Coturnix japonica: one gene and its partners. The protein of the gene in region 1 interacts with the protein of each later gene in a biochemical or structural test. Links are inferred from orthologs where the notes say so. Each region holds a gene or a part of one and is shown in the gene's direction. Other genes may lie near its edges.

Evidence for each region. The genes of interacting proteins can lie anywhere in the genome.
Region 2: the proteins of SIAH2 (region 1) and DLST form a complex in vitro, tested with the Homo sapiens proteins (2 studies listed by BioGRID, with this or other methods). The link is inferred for Coturnix japonica from reciprocal best matches to the Homo sapiens genes SIAH2 and DLST.
Region 3: the proteins of SIAH2 (region 1) and EGLN3 form a complex in vitro, tested with the Homo sapiens proteins (2 studies listed by BioGRID). The link is inferred for Coturnix japonica from reciprocal best matches to the Homo sapiens genes SIAH2 and EGLN3.

What each region holds. Positions count from the first base shown.
Region 1 is NC_029524.1:20,988,674-20,993,310, forward strand, and holds the start of SIAH2 (E3 ubiquitin-protein ligase SIAH2), read left to right. Parts: upstream 1-1,687; 5' UTR 1,688-1,796; coding exon 1,797-2,198; intron 2,199-4,637. UniProt on the Homo sapiens protein: E3 ubiquitin-protein ligase that mediates ubiquitination and subsequent proteasomal degradation of target proteins.
Region 2 is NC_029520.1:34,551,178-34,555,811, forward strand, and holds the start of DLST (dihydrolipoyllysine-residue succinyltransferase component of 2-oxoglutarate dehydrogenase complex, mitochondrial), read left to right. Parts: upstream 1-1,759; 5' UTR 1,760-1,819; coding exon 1,820-1,888; intron 1,889-4,634. UniProt on the Homo sapiens protein: Dihydrolipoamide succinyltransferase (E2) component of the 2-oxoglutarate dehydrogenase complex. The 2-oxoglutarate dehydrogenase complex catalyzes the overall conversion of 2-oxoglutarate to succinyl-CoA and CO(2).
Region 3 is NC_029520.1:32,346,425-32,351,096, reverse strand, and holds the start of EGLN3 (egl nine homolog 3), read left to right. Parts: upstream 1-1,797; 5' UTR 1,798-2,166; coding exon 2,167-2,523; intron 2,524-4,672. UniProt on the Homo sapiens protein: Prolyl hydroxylase that mediates hydroxylation of proline residues in target proteins, such as PKM, TELO2, ATF4 and HIF1A. Target proteins are preferentially recognized via a LXXLAP motif.

The sequences.
Region 1 (4,637 bases):
CCCTGCCCCACAGCCCCATGTAGGTTTCTCCCAGGCCGGACAAGCACACACACACCACGTCCAAAAACTGCTGATTTCTGTCTGCCCCACTCCGCTGTTACACTCCATTTGTTTGGGGGTGGGGATCAGAAAAGGCCTCTGCACCCCAGGATTTGGAGAGAACCTTGGGGTCCCTTTATTCTCAGAGCTCCAAAGAACTTCCACACCTATGTCAAAGACTCTCAAGAGAGAATGGCAGAGGAAAAGCAGCATGTTGGCCATGTAACTCAAGAGAGGACAGAGCACAGCACAGCTCACCCCACACTATGGCTCGTTCTGGCTTTGCCGTGGCACAGCCTTCAGTGTGTCTGAATGCACTGCACATTACTGAGTGCCAAAGGAAAAATAAAACCAGAGCTGCAGTCAAAGCATTGTTCTCTGGTACCTTGGACTGCATCATCTTGCAAAGCTCGGCAGTGCTTCACAAGGAAGAAAAAAGCAGAACTCCACTAACACTGCACCTCCTTTTAATGAGAGCACGGGCAGTGTCTCAGTGGAACTCCTCGCAGGGCGCACAGCCACCAATGAGTCACACATGGTGCACGCCCGAGCAGCGATAACAGCACCATTCTGGGAAGTGCAGCCACACCTCGGAGGAAAGCGTTGCTCATTTAAGGGCAAGAGGAGTCAAGTCAGCAGCAGAACTCTCGGGAAAATGCTGTATGTCATGTGCCCGATGAGCTGACGGGGAATTCAAACCACAGCCCTGTTCATGGCCGCCCCGTCCGCTGCGCTGCTCAGCGGCACCACGCAGCGCTTTGTGCGCCCAGAGCCGCATCCAGCCCGGCGCAGGGACAGACAGCAACCACGGCAGCGGGCAGGGAAGCGCGCAGCTTCAGCCCCGGCTCTGCCCGCTTCCTTCTTCAGCCCCGCCGGCAAATGAAAGGGACGCGGGGACATTCCCACCCCCGGGCCGTCCTCACTTCTCCTCCGTTACCAAAACACAACGCGTTTAAACCGGTGTTTTATTTTCAACATTCTGTTACGGGGGGGATGAAAACAGCCCCATTTCTTTTACCCGACCTCCGCCCCCAAGCAGCGCTGCAGCACTGTTCCATTCTCCATCAGACCCATCTCTCATCGTTCCGTCCTCCCGCTCGCTCCGCTCTCACGCCCCGTCCCGTCCCCGCGAGGAGCCGCGCTCCTCCGCCGCTGCTCGCGCTCAGCACGGCGGCTCAGCGGTCCTCACGAGGGCCGGCACGGGCAGGGATCGGGCCCGAGCCCACGCGGATAACGGCGCCCGGTGGGTTTCCTCAGCCCCGCGGGGCGTCAGCGCCACCGGCGCCCCTTCATCCCAGCGCGGCCGGACGCGGAGCGCAGCGCCCTCGGTTACCGCAGCGCCCTCGGTTACCGCAGCGCCCTCGGTTACCGCAGCCCCGGACGGGCCCGGCGGACGGAGCCGCGTTCTCTCCCGGCATCGCAGCGTACCGGGCGGGGCGGGGCGGTGCGGGGCACGGTGCTCGGGCCGCCGCTGACCGCTCCCGAGTCTCGCCCGCTCCGTCCTGGCACCGCAGCCGTGGGCGCGGCGCTCCCCTGCCTCCTCCTCCTCCTCATCCTCATCCTCCTCCTCCTCCTCCTCCCCCGCTCCCCCCGCCGCCCCGCTCCGCTCCCCGCCCCGCCCGTCCCCCGGAGCATGCTCGCTGCGGCGGGGCCGGGCCGGAGGCTGCGCGCGGCCGCCTCTTGCGTCAGCGGAGCGTTCCGGGCGGGCGCGTCGGGTCCCGAGAGCCGCGGCCCGATGGTGGCGGCAGCGCGGCGCCATGAGCCGCCCTTCGTCCGCCGGGCCGGGCTCTAACAAACCCTGCGGGAAGCAGCCGCCGCCGCACGCCCCCGCCCCGGCCGCCGCCGCGCCCGCTCCCGCCGCCGCCACCATCGCCGCGTCCGGTGCCGGATCCTCCGCCGTGCCCGCGGCCGCCGCCGTCCTCTCCGGGCCGGGCGGGCCCGTGTCTCCGCAGCACCACGAGCTGACGTCGCTGTTCGAGTGCCCCGTGTGCTTCGACTATGTGCTGCCGCCCATCCTGCAGTGCCAGGCCGGGCACCTGGTCTGCAAGCAATGCCGGCAGAAGCTGAGCCTCTGCCCCACCTGCCGGGGCTCGCTGACCCCCAGCATCAGGAACCTGGCCATGGAGAAGGTGGCCTCGGCCGTGCTCTTCCCCTGCAAGGTGAGCGGACGGGGCGCCGGGTTGGACGGGACCCCCTTTCTGCTCACAGCCCTGCTCCTATTTCAGACGTGACAAAAACAACTCGTTTTCTCTCATCGTTGAAATAAGCGCAAGTGGTAAATGCGCTCGTAGGTACGGAGCTGACTTAATGCGGACACAGGGCGGGACGCAGGGCTTCATCTTTTGGAAAAGAAACCTCGCTCTTCGCAGCTTCCATAGGAGCAGCGATGCTCTGCGTCCCGAGAGCTGGGGCAGGGTTAGGGACACCTCCCTTAGGGAGGGTCCTGCTGAGATCCTTTAACTTGTCACCTCTGCCTGGAGCTGCTGCCCCATTTCTGAGCCTTCTTGTGGTTCTGATCCCTCTGAAGAAAAGGGAATCCAGTGAGGATTCATTTCGCTGTACTCTTTATGTTTAGTCCGAGGGCAAGATGTGGAATCCTTTCTGCACTCCACATCCAACCGTAATGTTTTGCTTTTAGAACCACTAGGCGTAGTGAGGTTGTGTATCCATTGAAAGGGCTCCGGCAGCATCGCACTGAGCGCTGCCCCCTTCGGCCGGGCGCAGGGACAGGCACTGCAGCCTCGGGCCGCCGCTGCTTCGCTGTGCAGCTGGGAGGGAAGAGCAGGGATGGACTCAGCGTGTCATTCCCGGCTCTGCTGCAGATTTCCCCTGCAGCTTCAGACAAGGTGCTTTAATCCCATATACACCCTGCCTTCATTCACTGACCTGGCTCTGCTGAGCACCTTCAAGCTTAGCCAATGTTTTCAGAATGCTTTCAGGCACTCACATTACCTGTAAGGGGAAGTCCAGGGTAACGCGAGTGAAGTGACGTACATAGCAACAACACGGAATGCTAAGTCATTATGTGGTGATGGCTGCAGGGCTGCCTGCTTCCTCTTAGGAAGGTGAATGTGGTGCAAGTAGTGCTGTGACGAAAGGTACTCGTAAAAGTGGAATGCTGGGAGCGAGAGAAAGGCAATGTGAGAGCACGGAGCAGTCACATCAGCTCCGGCATTTGTGGTGCACCAGCACTGCCTGCACCCTGCGCTCCTGCCTCAGGAAGGACACAGGAGAAGTGGAAAAGGTAGAGCCGTCAATGAGATGGGCGGTATCATATGACCTGCACGCAGGGAAAGACCAACAGGCTCTTTGGTTTGAATGAGGATATGGTAAATATCGGTGACATGTGCCAAACAGCATGAAGGCAACAAGTGCTCTGTGTTCCCAGAAGATCTGTGAGAGTCCCTTACAAACCCAGAGCGCTCCGTGAATCTGTTCACAACCTCCTGCTCACCAAACAAAACTGCTGCTGTGTGTTCAGGAGCCAACAGAAGGAGGTGGGTCACAGCAAAGGAAAAACCACAGCTATTTCCTCAGCTCTCTTCCTTGTGTGTTCACCACTGGTCACTTTCTGATACAGGCTGACACTACGCAGACGTTTGCTTTTGCCCATCCAGCAGCTTACATGTTCTTACTGCTTTTCTAACAGGGTCAGACCGAGAGCGGTTCTTCAGCAAAGTGCAAAGCGATTACATTGCCAACAGGGGTATGAATGTAGAGTGAAAACAGCAGAACAGTGAGAGTGGAAGCATAGAACCCAGCGGCAGGGAGCCGTGCTCTGCATGGTGGGTTTCTGCCTGCAGCAGGAGGAGCCCTGGTTGCACCGCAGCACACCTCTGTGCTCCTGTCACAGGTGGATAAATCCTGTCACAGAGGATTAAGCAGCAGAGCACACGTTATGGCTTATAAAGCAAGCTCTGTAGAAGCACAAGGTCTCGTTTCTGTCCCAGCAGTTGTAGCACTGTGCTGCAGTGTGGGTGATTTGGCTGCAGTAAGGAGGACTGTGGCGTCTGCATCTCAGGCATTTCACTCTTTGAGCTGAAACTAATTGTGTTTGCATTTAACCCCAAAATACGCTGTTAAACTTTGATGAATTTGGACTTTGCTTAGTTGAACATTTTACAAAAAGTCTGTCCAGACTTGTGTTTCCCCAGAGATTGTCTTGTTCCTTCAAACATTCTCTCACCTTTGGTCTCAGAGCACAGTCCCTGACCCAAAGAAGCGTCCTACCTCCTGTAGGCAGCCACACGTGGGCTGTGATGGCGGGACCGCATGAGCAGAGTTGCAGAAGTCTCTCCAGCTGTCTGCAGATGGGGGGAGCTGTGCTCCTGCTCAGAGCAAAAGACGCGTTTCTCCTTAGAGGTAGTGAGGAAGAAACGTGTTCAGTGCAGACAGCGACTCGGTGTTGAAAAGGAAAAGCATCCCTGTTTGCTGAAAGCAGATTAACCTTTGGAGGTGCCCGATGACATTAAGAGCAGTCACGCGGTGCTCACTTGTGATGAGCTCTGTGCTCCATAAAAAATCAGCATCTCTCTTCCCACTCTTTGAAACCGTGGTGCTAAAACTTGGGATCGTGGGTCTGAGTTTAATGGAAGTAG
Region 2 (4,634 bases), on another chromosome or scaffold:
GCCCATGTCCTATAAAGAGGGAGTGGGGTGGCTGGAGGCAGCCAACCGGCTGGGAACAACTCCTGAATATGCAGATGGATGGCCAGGGGTCCAGCCACCTGCCTCAGCATCCCCCAGGCTTACAGAAATGATAACAACGTTGTTGATTCTATATCTCCCCAAACACGTTCAAAAGGACAAGTGTTTGGAGAGGAGACATGACTTTATTCTGGGCAGGGCACAAGGTGGAATATTCCCACAAATCAAGTACACTGAGTCTTTATGCTGGCTTCTATTTATAGCCAAAAGTTTTCACTATACACTTACCTAATACATAAGTCACACCTGTCTATTACATATTCATATGTTTATGTAAGTTTAAGGTTATATAACATATTCAATTCTTCTGCGTTTGCACAGGGGTCTTTAGTGATGGTCTGGGGAGGCATCCCACTCCTCGCTTTATCCGTATTTGGGCACAAGGACATTTAGTCTGTTCTGATTGGTTCCTCTTTTGGACTTGTGCCCTCATCTCAAGGATGCTGTCCCTGTGGGTCTAATTTATGGCAGTCTTGGATCTTTGAAGAGAAACATCCCATCTCAGGAAGGTTGTTTATCATAGATAAGCAGGACATCTGGAACTTAAAGCAGAGCTTCAACCTTGAGCAAAACACCTCAGACAGACAAAAATGTCAGATCAGCTTTTGAAACATCACCAGCACTAGACTGAGCAGCCCATAAGTTCCCCATGTCCATCATGGCAGAGCACTATGCAATGCCTGTCAGGCTCTGCAGCTCAGCTGTGCTTTGGCAGCTGAGAGGCTGAGGCCCATGAGGAGGCAATCCCAGGAGCAGAGAGCTCTATCCAATGGTCATGGCTCCAAGCTGATAGAGTTCAAAGAGCATTTAGAGGATGCTCTCAGATGCAGGGTTTGAATTTCGGGTGGTCCTATATGGAGCCAGAAGTTGGACTCAATGATCCTTGTGGGTTCCTTCCAACTTGGGATATTCAGCAATGCTGTGCAAAGTCAGTACCTTGCTGACTGCAGGGCGCTCTAGGGATATTCCTACTACCAGCACATCCAAGATGGAGCTGCCAGGCCAAGAGCAGATGGAACTCCTGGAGCTGGACAAAACCAAGTCGGCTCTGACATTTCCAGGTTGCCATCTATATTTCATAAACACTGTGATGCTCATTTTATTAGGCAGGTGGCTGTGGTGAAAAGCAGCCTGACATGGGGCAGCCCTACTCAAGGGTCTCAGCCCCTTACAGACAGACGGCAGAGGCACCCCTGGCATTGAGCCTTCCTGGCACAGCTGCCTTGTTTGACAGCCATCAGATTCTCTGTGCCTTGCTCTATTCCTTCTACCTTTTAGCCCATTTTTGTTCACTTGTGTGTGGTTTGTGGTTCTGTTATTTCCCGTAGCTGTCTGCTGAGCTCCTTGCCCATTTCTAGTCAAGCTGACAGCAGCTCTGTTCTATGCAGGGCTGAAGGCAGGACACGGCAAGGTGAGCATGAATCCCACCAGCACGGCTTCCCTGCAGCAAGCCACACCCGGATCCCACCAACAGCGCACAGCCAGGAGCCCAGCATGGCTGCCAGCACAGACACAGCTCAGACGCGGAGCTCTGCCCTCGGTCCCCACGCAGTGTCAGTGCCGTTATCGGTGCAGCACAGCCGGCCCGTGGCACAGCAGCACGGCGCCCCGCTCCGCGCCCCCCGCCCGGCGCCACGCCCGGCTCCCCCCGCCGCAGCACTTGGTGCGGCCCTAAGCGCTTCCGGCTCGCGCCGGGCCTGCATCCGGTGTCCGCCCTCCAGCTCCTCCCGCCGCCGCCGCGATGCTGCTGCTGTGGCGGTCGCGCTGCCTGGGCCGGGCGCTGGGCCGCTCGGTGCGCACCCTGCGGCAGGTACGGCCCGGAGCGGGTGGCGGCGGGAGCGGCCACGGGCGGCCGGCCGCCATGCTTGGGACAGCGGGATCGGCGGCGCCAAGGGCACCGGGACGCGACCGGCTCGGCCCCGCCGCCGATCCGGGGCGGGAGCACGGCGGGTGGTGCGGCCTCGGTGCTGAGTACCGGGACGGAGGGAGCGGGGCGGGCTGCCCAAGGGGGCGGAGGGAGCCGGGACTGCGAGGGAACCGGGACCGGGACGGAGCCCTCGGCTCGGCCGCTCCGCTCTTCCCTTTGGCGGCCGCTGTGGTGCCGGAATTGCAGGTGCCCGTCGTTAAGCACACGGGTACACGCGCGTATTGTACAGCGCACTGACAGCGGTTTGTAACCGTGTGTTTGGTTTCGTTCCTAACGGTGAACCTGTGCTGTGGTGGCACGGTGGTTACCGTGCTTGTTGAAGTGTCGCTTTAATAATAGTTATTTTTTATCAGCATTTATGGTGCTGTGTAACTATGCAGAACAGGTGGAGAATACAGACGTTTTCAAAAGCAATTTGCAAAGAGAGAGGCCGCAGCTGAACAGCAGGTGGGCAGTGAGCTGTGGGTGTCCTGCTTGAGGAGGAGGAAAAGCGGTACGGTGAGAGGTGAAGGATGTAGTGGCAGCTTGACATCTCTTGGGGTAGGGATGTGGAGAGTGAGTGCTGATGCAGGGATAACATGGGGCCGGGGGGAGCCGTAAAAGGAGTAGTGGAGCGTGGCAGGTCTGTGCTGGGAGAAGTGAAAACAACAGACGTGGACAAAAATCAGAAGTGTCCAACTGAATGGAAGAATGGTGAAGTCAGCAGGAAACAGCACGTGGAGGGAGGGGACGGCTGGGTTTAGTGCTTGGGAAGAAGAAGGAGGTTTATATGTCAAGTTGGAATCATGCAGGTGCCACTGAGGCTCCTGTCCAGATGAGTCCAATGCTGCAGCTGAGTGGTGACCCAAGGCAGTGCCAAGAGGAGCAAGAGGTTCTGAAAGGGATGGTGTGATGGGAGCTGTCAGCTCTACTTTGGCGATGAAATCCTCGCGTTTCTCTGGGGAAGAGTTTATTAAGAACTTCCTCCCGGGCTGATCCCTTCCACATGCAGGAGGAGCTGTCAGCCTGTTGTCTTAGTAACTGTACCCTGTATCCACTCTGAATTGTTATCTCCCTCCTATCTTTGCATCTGCCTTGTTGCGCTATATATAATTGTGTTAAAGACACACGGTGGGTTTTCTGTGAACAGTGTTTTACATCCACCCTTGCTAGTAGAGCAGCAGCCACATTGCTTTGCAGGATCCAGGGCTGGCAAAGTGATTGCTGCAGTCAGAGCTGCTCAGCACTGGGCTCTCACTGTGGCTCTGTGCAATGGGCTGCACCGATGTCTGTGTGTGGTGACCTGCTGGAAGGTGACAGCTCCTTTAAGGTGTGGCCTGAGGTGGCACGTGCTGGGGTCACTTTGACATAACAGCAGTGTAAAAACAATTCGGAGAAGTCATGTGGAACCGGGGGAAAGCATTAATCACTTGTGGTGTGAGTCACTAACAAATTAGAACAAGACTTGTTCCTCCAAGTGAGTGCAGCTGCTTTATACTGACCCACAGTGCTAACACCAACCAGTTGAACATACAGTGTTCCTGTTCTACCAAAGATCTGACACGTGGCATCGCAGTGATTCCTTCAGGGAAAAAGGGATGGGGAAACATGCCTGCTGGGCATCTCAGAGCTGCAAGTGCTGGCACACTGTGCTTAGAGGTGGGCAGAGCAAGGCAGAGAGTGTCTTGGTGTCTTTCATTACAGCTTCTCAGACCGATAGAGCTCTTCTCTCAGTTCTTGCGTAGGGCAAAACAGTGCCATTTTTTCTTTATATTGCAGCAGCTGTAGCACACAGACTTGGCTCATCTCCTGGAGATCTGCACATGTGTTTTCTCACAGCTGTTTACTTTAGCACGGACCTTTTAAACTTCTTGTTAAACTTATAGTAAGCTTACACTGGGTCTGTACTCTTTCTTTATGAGTTACTGTCTGGGATGCTTGGATTACCCTTACAACTTTATACAGTTCCCAGGAAAACATTAATGGACAGAGGGAAGCTCATATTCCTTGGCATTTTATTTGAGATTAACTTCAGTGCTATCTGAGATGTCACAGAAATTGGGGAGGATTTGACCAGTGCAGGTGTTGAGAATCATGGGGCTTTAGGTACACAACCAGATGCAGTTAACAGGAGGTTTGTCTTAGTGATCCTGACTTAGCACTGTTTCTGCATGAACTGGAGCAATGCAAGCAGTGCTGGGGTTAAGCTGTGTAGCACTCAGGATGGCACTACACCTTGCTCTCCCTTCTCCACAGGCCCTGCTGGTTTTGTTTCTAGGACGCTGGTCCTAAGCTGGGGTGCTGCATGGAGTGGTGCTGCAGCTGATGGGCTCTACTAGATCCCTGCTGGTTCAGCAGCTGTGCTGTGCATCCTCAGCACTGCTGATTTGCAGCCATGTCGACCTGCCTTTAGACAATTGAATTGACTGCACGTTAATATCTGGAAAGGCAAATCTATCCTTGAGTTTGGATAATTGAACTGCCCAGGGGCTAATTTCAGAACCGTTAATAGTTTTGATGATGTGAAGTGTTTGTTGAGTGTATTTTAGGATGTTATATCACTCAGTCCTGTAGATAAGACACAGGATTAAATATCTCTTTGGTCCTTGATGTTTCTGCTGTCTGTGACACACATCTCCAGAAGTCATTT
Region 3 (4,672 bases), on another chromosome or scaffold:
TGTGTTGCTTACCATACCTGGCTGATTTTTCAGATAAGCATTTAGGGATTCAGACTTTTATCATACTAATTATAACCACACTTTAACGTGTGTTCCTAAATCAAGCCAAGTCCTTAGATAACCCACAGCTTGCTGCGTGTGCATATATCTGATGATTAAACTTTGCACTGGTCCTGGGCAGAAGTGTCAGAGAACACCTCCAGTGCAACAGAGGTATGCTTGGTGTTAGGCATGGGGATGCAAGGGATACACCCTCAGACACAGGCTGCCTGTGGTCCCAGCAGGCAGTCTTGCACCTGAGTCGCAGCAATCCTCACTATCACTACAAGCTGGGGGGTGAAAGTTTAGAGTGCCCTGCCAAAAAGGATTCAAGAGGGCTGGCAGATGGCAAGCTGGACATGAGCCAGCAATGTGCCCTCACAGCCCAGAATGCCAACGGTGTCCTGAGCTACGTCAAAAAGAATACCATCAGCAGGTACTCTGTGCCTCACCTGGAGTACTGCATCCAGATGTAGAGTCCTCAGTTCAGGAGACATGGACCTGTTGGAGTGTGTCCAGAAGAAGGCCACAAAAATGATCCAATGGATGCATGACTTCTCCTACAAGGACAGGCTGAGAGAGCTGAGGCTGTTCAGCCTGGAGAAGACAAGGCTCTGGGGAGACCTGAGAGCAGCCTTTCAGTATCTAAAGGGGGGTGTAAGAAGGAAGGGGATGGACTCTTTAGCAGGATCTGTTGTGACAGGACAAGGGGAAATAGCTTCAAACTAAAAGAGGAGATATTTAAATTGCATACTTATAAGGAAGAATTTTTGTGTGTGTGTGATAACGGTGGTGAGGTACTGGAAACAGGTTGCCCAGAGATGTGGTGGACATCTGGTCCCTAGAGACATTCAGGGTCAGGCTGGACCTTGATCTAGCTTTAAGTGTCTCTGTTCATTGCAGGAATAAATGTACCTTTAAAGGTCCCTTCCAACTCAAAAGATCCTGTGGTTCTATGACTGCAGACCCGACGGTGAGGGAAGAACGTCCTTCCTAGATGTTGCCTTTTGGGTGAATCCGGACAGGTTCCGGCTTCTGGAGGGCAGCAGAAGTGAGGCTGATTCCCGTGACAGTACCGCACGTTGTCACAGTCATGGTCACAGCCATGGCCACTGGGAGGTGGCTCTGTGGGACACGGAGCGCTGATGGCCGTACGTAGTTGAGGGGAGAGACTCGGCTCGGACTTAGGTGACCCCAGTGTCCCGATATCGCGGCCCGGCCGCTGTTTGCTTTTTGCTTTGCCTCTGAATGGAACGTGGAGCTCAGCCGCGACGGGCTGCCTCGTGTGGCTCCGGCGGTACAGCGGGGTGTTGGCAACCCAGCCCAGGGGCTGTCTTTGTCAGCAGCGCCAGCAGAGCAACAAGCCCCGTGGGGTGAATAATTAGGGGAAGCGCTTTTTTATGAACTAAATCTCAGGAAGTGTGGTGTTCTTTGCCGTGTGAAGCCGCCCCGATGACCCATATGAAATATTTGCGTCCGTTGTTGAGACTGCGCTTCGGGAGCCGAAAAGCAGCGGCAGCGGCAGAAATGCCGTGTACGTTCCGGACCCGCTGTTGGTCACGCCGCACGCCGACATGCCGCCGGAGAATTCCTCAATGGCGCTGCCCCCGCCCCCTCTGCCCGCAGGCCGCGCCCCCCGCTCGCACGTGTGGATCTGCTCGCCGCTTGTACCCCTCGGGCAGGACCCGCCCCCCGGGCGCCCATTGGCCGCGGTGGCCGCAGGGGGCGCGGTGAAGGCGTGGCGCTCCGTGCCGGGCGGGCTCCACCCACGTGCGGCGGCGCGGCGGGAGCGGGCGGGCTGCGAGCACACATCCCGCACGTAGCCCGCGTATTAATCAGCGCGGGGCCATCTGCCGCCCGCCCCTTAAAGCGTTGGGGGGCTGCGGGCGTCGCGAGGGAGCGGTTTGGTGTTGTGCGGTAACAGCGATATCGGCGCGGGGCTCCGACGGCGGCGTCGTCCCCGAGGCGCGGGGCTGAGCCGAGGCACGGAGCTGAGCGCGGCCGGTCGGTCCGGGCGTCCGCAAAGTTTGGTCCCGTCCCGGAGTCCCGTCCCGGCCTGGAGCCGGCGGGCATCACCTCCCAAGGCGGGTGCCTGCAGGGCAGCGGCGCGCTCGTCCCCGCCGCGCCATGCCGCTGGGGCACATCATGCGGCTGGACCTGGAGAGGCTCGCTCTGGAGTACGTCGTGCCCTGTTTGCACGACATCGGCTTCTGCTACCTGGACAACTTCTTGGGGGAGGTGGTGGGCGACTGCGTGCTGGAGCGGGTGAAACGCATGCACCGTGACGGTGAGCTGGCCGACGGGCAGCTGGCCGGCCCCAGCCGCGGTGTGGCCAAGCGGCATCTCCGCGGCGACCAGATCAAGTGGATCGGGGGCACGGAGGAGGGCTGTGAAGCCATCAACTTCCTTCTCACGCTGATCGACCGCCTGGTGATGTACTGCGGCAGCCGGCTCGGCAAGTACTACGTAAAGGAGCGCTCCAAGGTAAGCGGAGCTGCTCGCGGCTGCGGGAGGTTTCCCGCTCCCGGCCCGGGGACGCCCCGTCGGGCAGATCCCGTGGCGTCGCTCCGGGCGTCACCGGGAGCGCTGTCCTGGAGAGCGGGGAGCACGGACGGCTTCTCGGAGTGGGGCCACTTGGGGCGGCTGCCCGATGCCTCGTTCCTGGTGCCGGTCCCTCGTCCGTCAGTGGCGTTGTGCTGTGTCCCGGCGTCACCTCACTTGCCAGCTGCGGAACCCGGCACCGTCGTGCTGGGAGCACCCTGCCAGAACAGCCCGGCCGTGGGCTTGACTGTCCTTCAGGGACTTGGTCCAGGTGGACGGAGAGCCCCTCCGTGCTCGGTTGGATCGGGCTACTCGCGACCGTTTGTCAGTGCTGTCCTAACTAGTTTCAGTGTTCGTGCCGGTGTCCTACACCTGAAGCTGCTCCCGTCGGGATTTGGCACAAAGTAAGGGATGCTCTGTCTTAGTGAGGCAAACTTTTTGTTTTGGAAGGAGAGAATCCGTATTTTGTCCCGAGGCTCTCATGTTTGGAAATGGAGAGGACCCCTGTGTATTGCCTTTGTAGATTTCTTTCCCAATGAAATGTGTTTGTCCTTTTCATGTTGGTAATTAAGTTTGGCCTAACTTCGTTTTGCTGTCCTCGTCTCGCTGTAGTGAAGCAGGCTGGTTTGGCACTAACTTTATTTCTTTGTCCTGAATATTGAAAATGTCCCCGTTTCTTTTTTCTATTCTTTTCTGACTTGAGTTCTGTAATATGTAGCACACTTCTAAAACATCCATGTCTTCTTCAGAAATGCTAGAAATAAAAATGGTGGTGTTTTTTTTTTTTTTCTTTTTTAATTAAAAGACAAATGAAAGGTTAAGTATTTGGTTGGGTCCTAACGAACTAGAAGGATGTGTGATTGGTGATGAGACTTTTTTTTCTCAACAGAAAAATGAAGGATCTAACATGCCATGTTTACCAACTTCTTGGGAACCCCTTAAAACCTGTGTGTGGGAAGGCCCCCACACACCTCCGCACAGTGATGGGAGAAATATAAGGATGGAGCATGGCTCTATTGTGCAGCCCCACTGAACTGCCCATCAATCTGGTTAAAGCTTGGGTAGATTTAGTTTAAAAGGAAAGTGGATTGGAGTTCACTTATTTGTGGTGTAGGAAGGTATAAATACCTAGTCTGCTTGGGCATGCCTCTAAGGGCATCTTAGATCCTTTTCTGGGTGACTTCTGTTTGCCTGGCTTCTGCCGAAGGCGCAATACTGCATGTTAGCGAGGTATCTGGGGAAAAACTCAGCTAGGTGTGGGAGGGCTGTTGGTGCTGGCTGGGGAGAAGGGTCTCTTGGGATGTAGGGTCTTTGAAACTGAGTTGTGGTCTTGCCACAAATTTGTGCCCACAGCAGTAACACATGACAGAACTTGTTTTATAAATAAGTACCAAGCTGCTTGCTATCAAGTGAGTCTTTTGGCCCTTGTGATTCATCAGGGAAGTATCAGACTCCAAGTAGTACATGAAAATGCTGTACAACAGCATGAGATTGAAAGGGACTCCATACAGTTTGCAAAACTAAATGAAGAGAAATTTCCATCTGAAATTAAGAGTAACAAATCCCTTAAGGTTAATAATATAAATGCCATGGATATGGGAGTAGCAGCTGTCATCTGTAGCTGGCATGTGGGACACCTTTGGCAGGAAGATTATTCCCGTGACTAATCAAATGACTCCTGCAGTACATGCAGGCTCCCACGTCACCTATGGACATTCTCCTTCCACCATTAAACCAGTCCTTTTTTGCTTATTTTCTGAAGACTTGTGAACACATACGCTGAATTTAAAAGTATGATTTTTGTGTGTTTGTTTATTTTTGTTCTATCAACTCTACACAGACATAGATGCCCAGACAACCTCTTAGAGGGAGAAGTTTCTGAGCAACTGGGCCACCACTTCTTAGATAGAGATATGCTTTTATCTACTGATTTGGGAAATGAATATTGACAGATAGGGCTAAGAGTTCCAGATCAGTCTGTTGAAAACGTAAGTCTTTGGCTACGTGGTAACTCCTTGTTGTAGAAGTGAATTGGCCTCATCATTATTTATATATTTAAGGTTTTAAAATAATAGTATGTCCTTAATCTGCA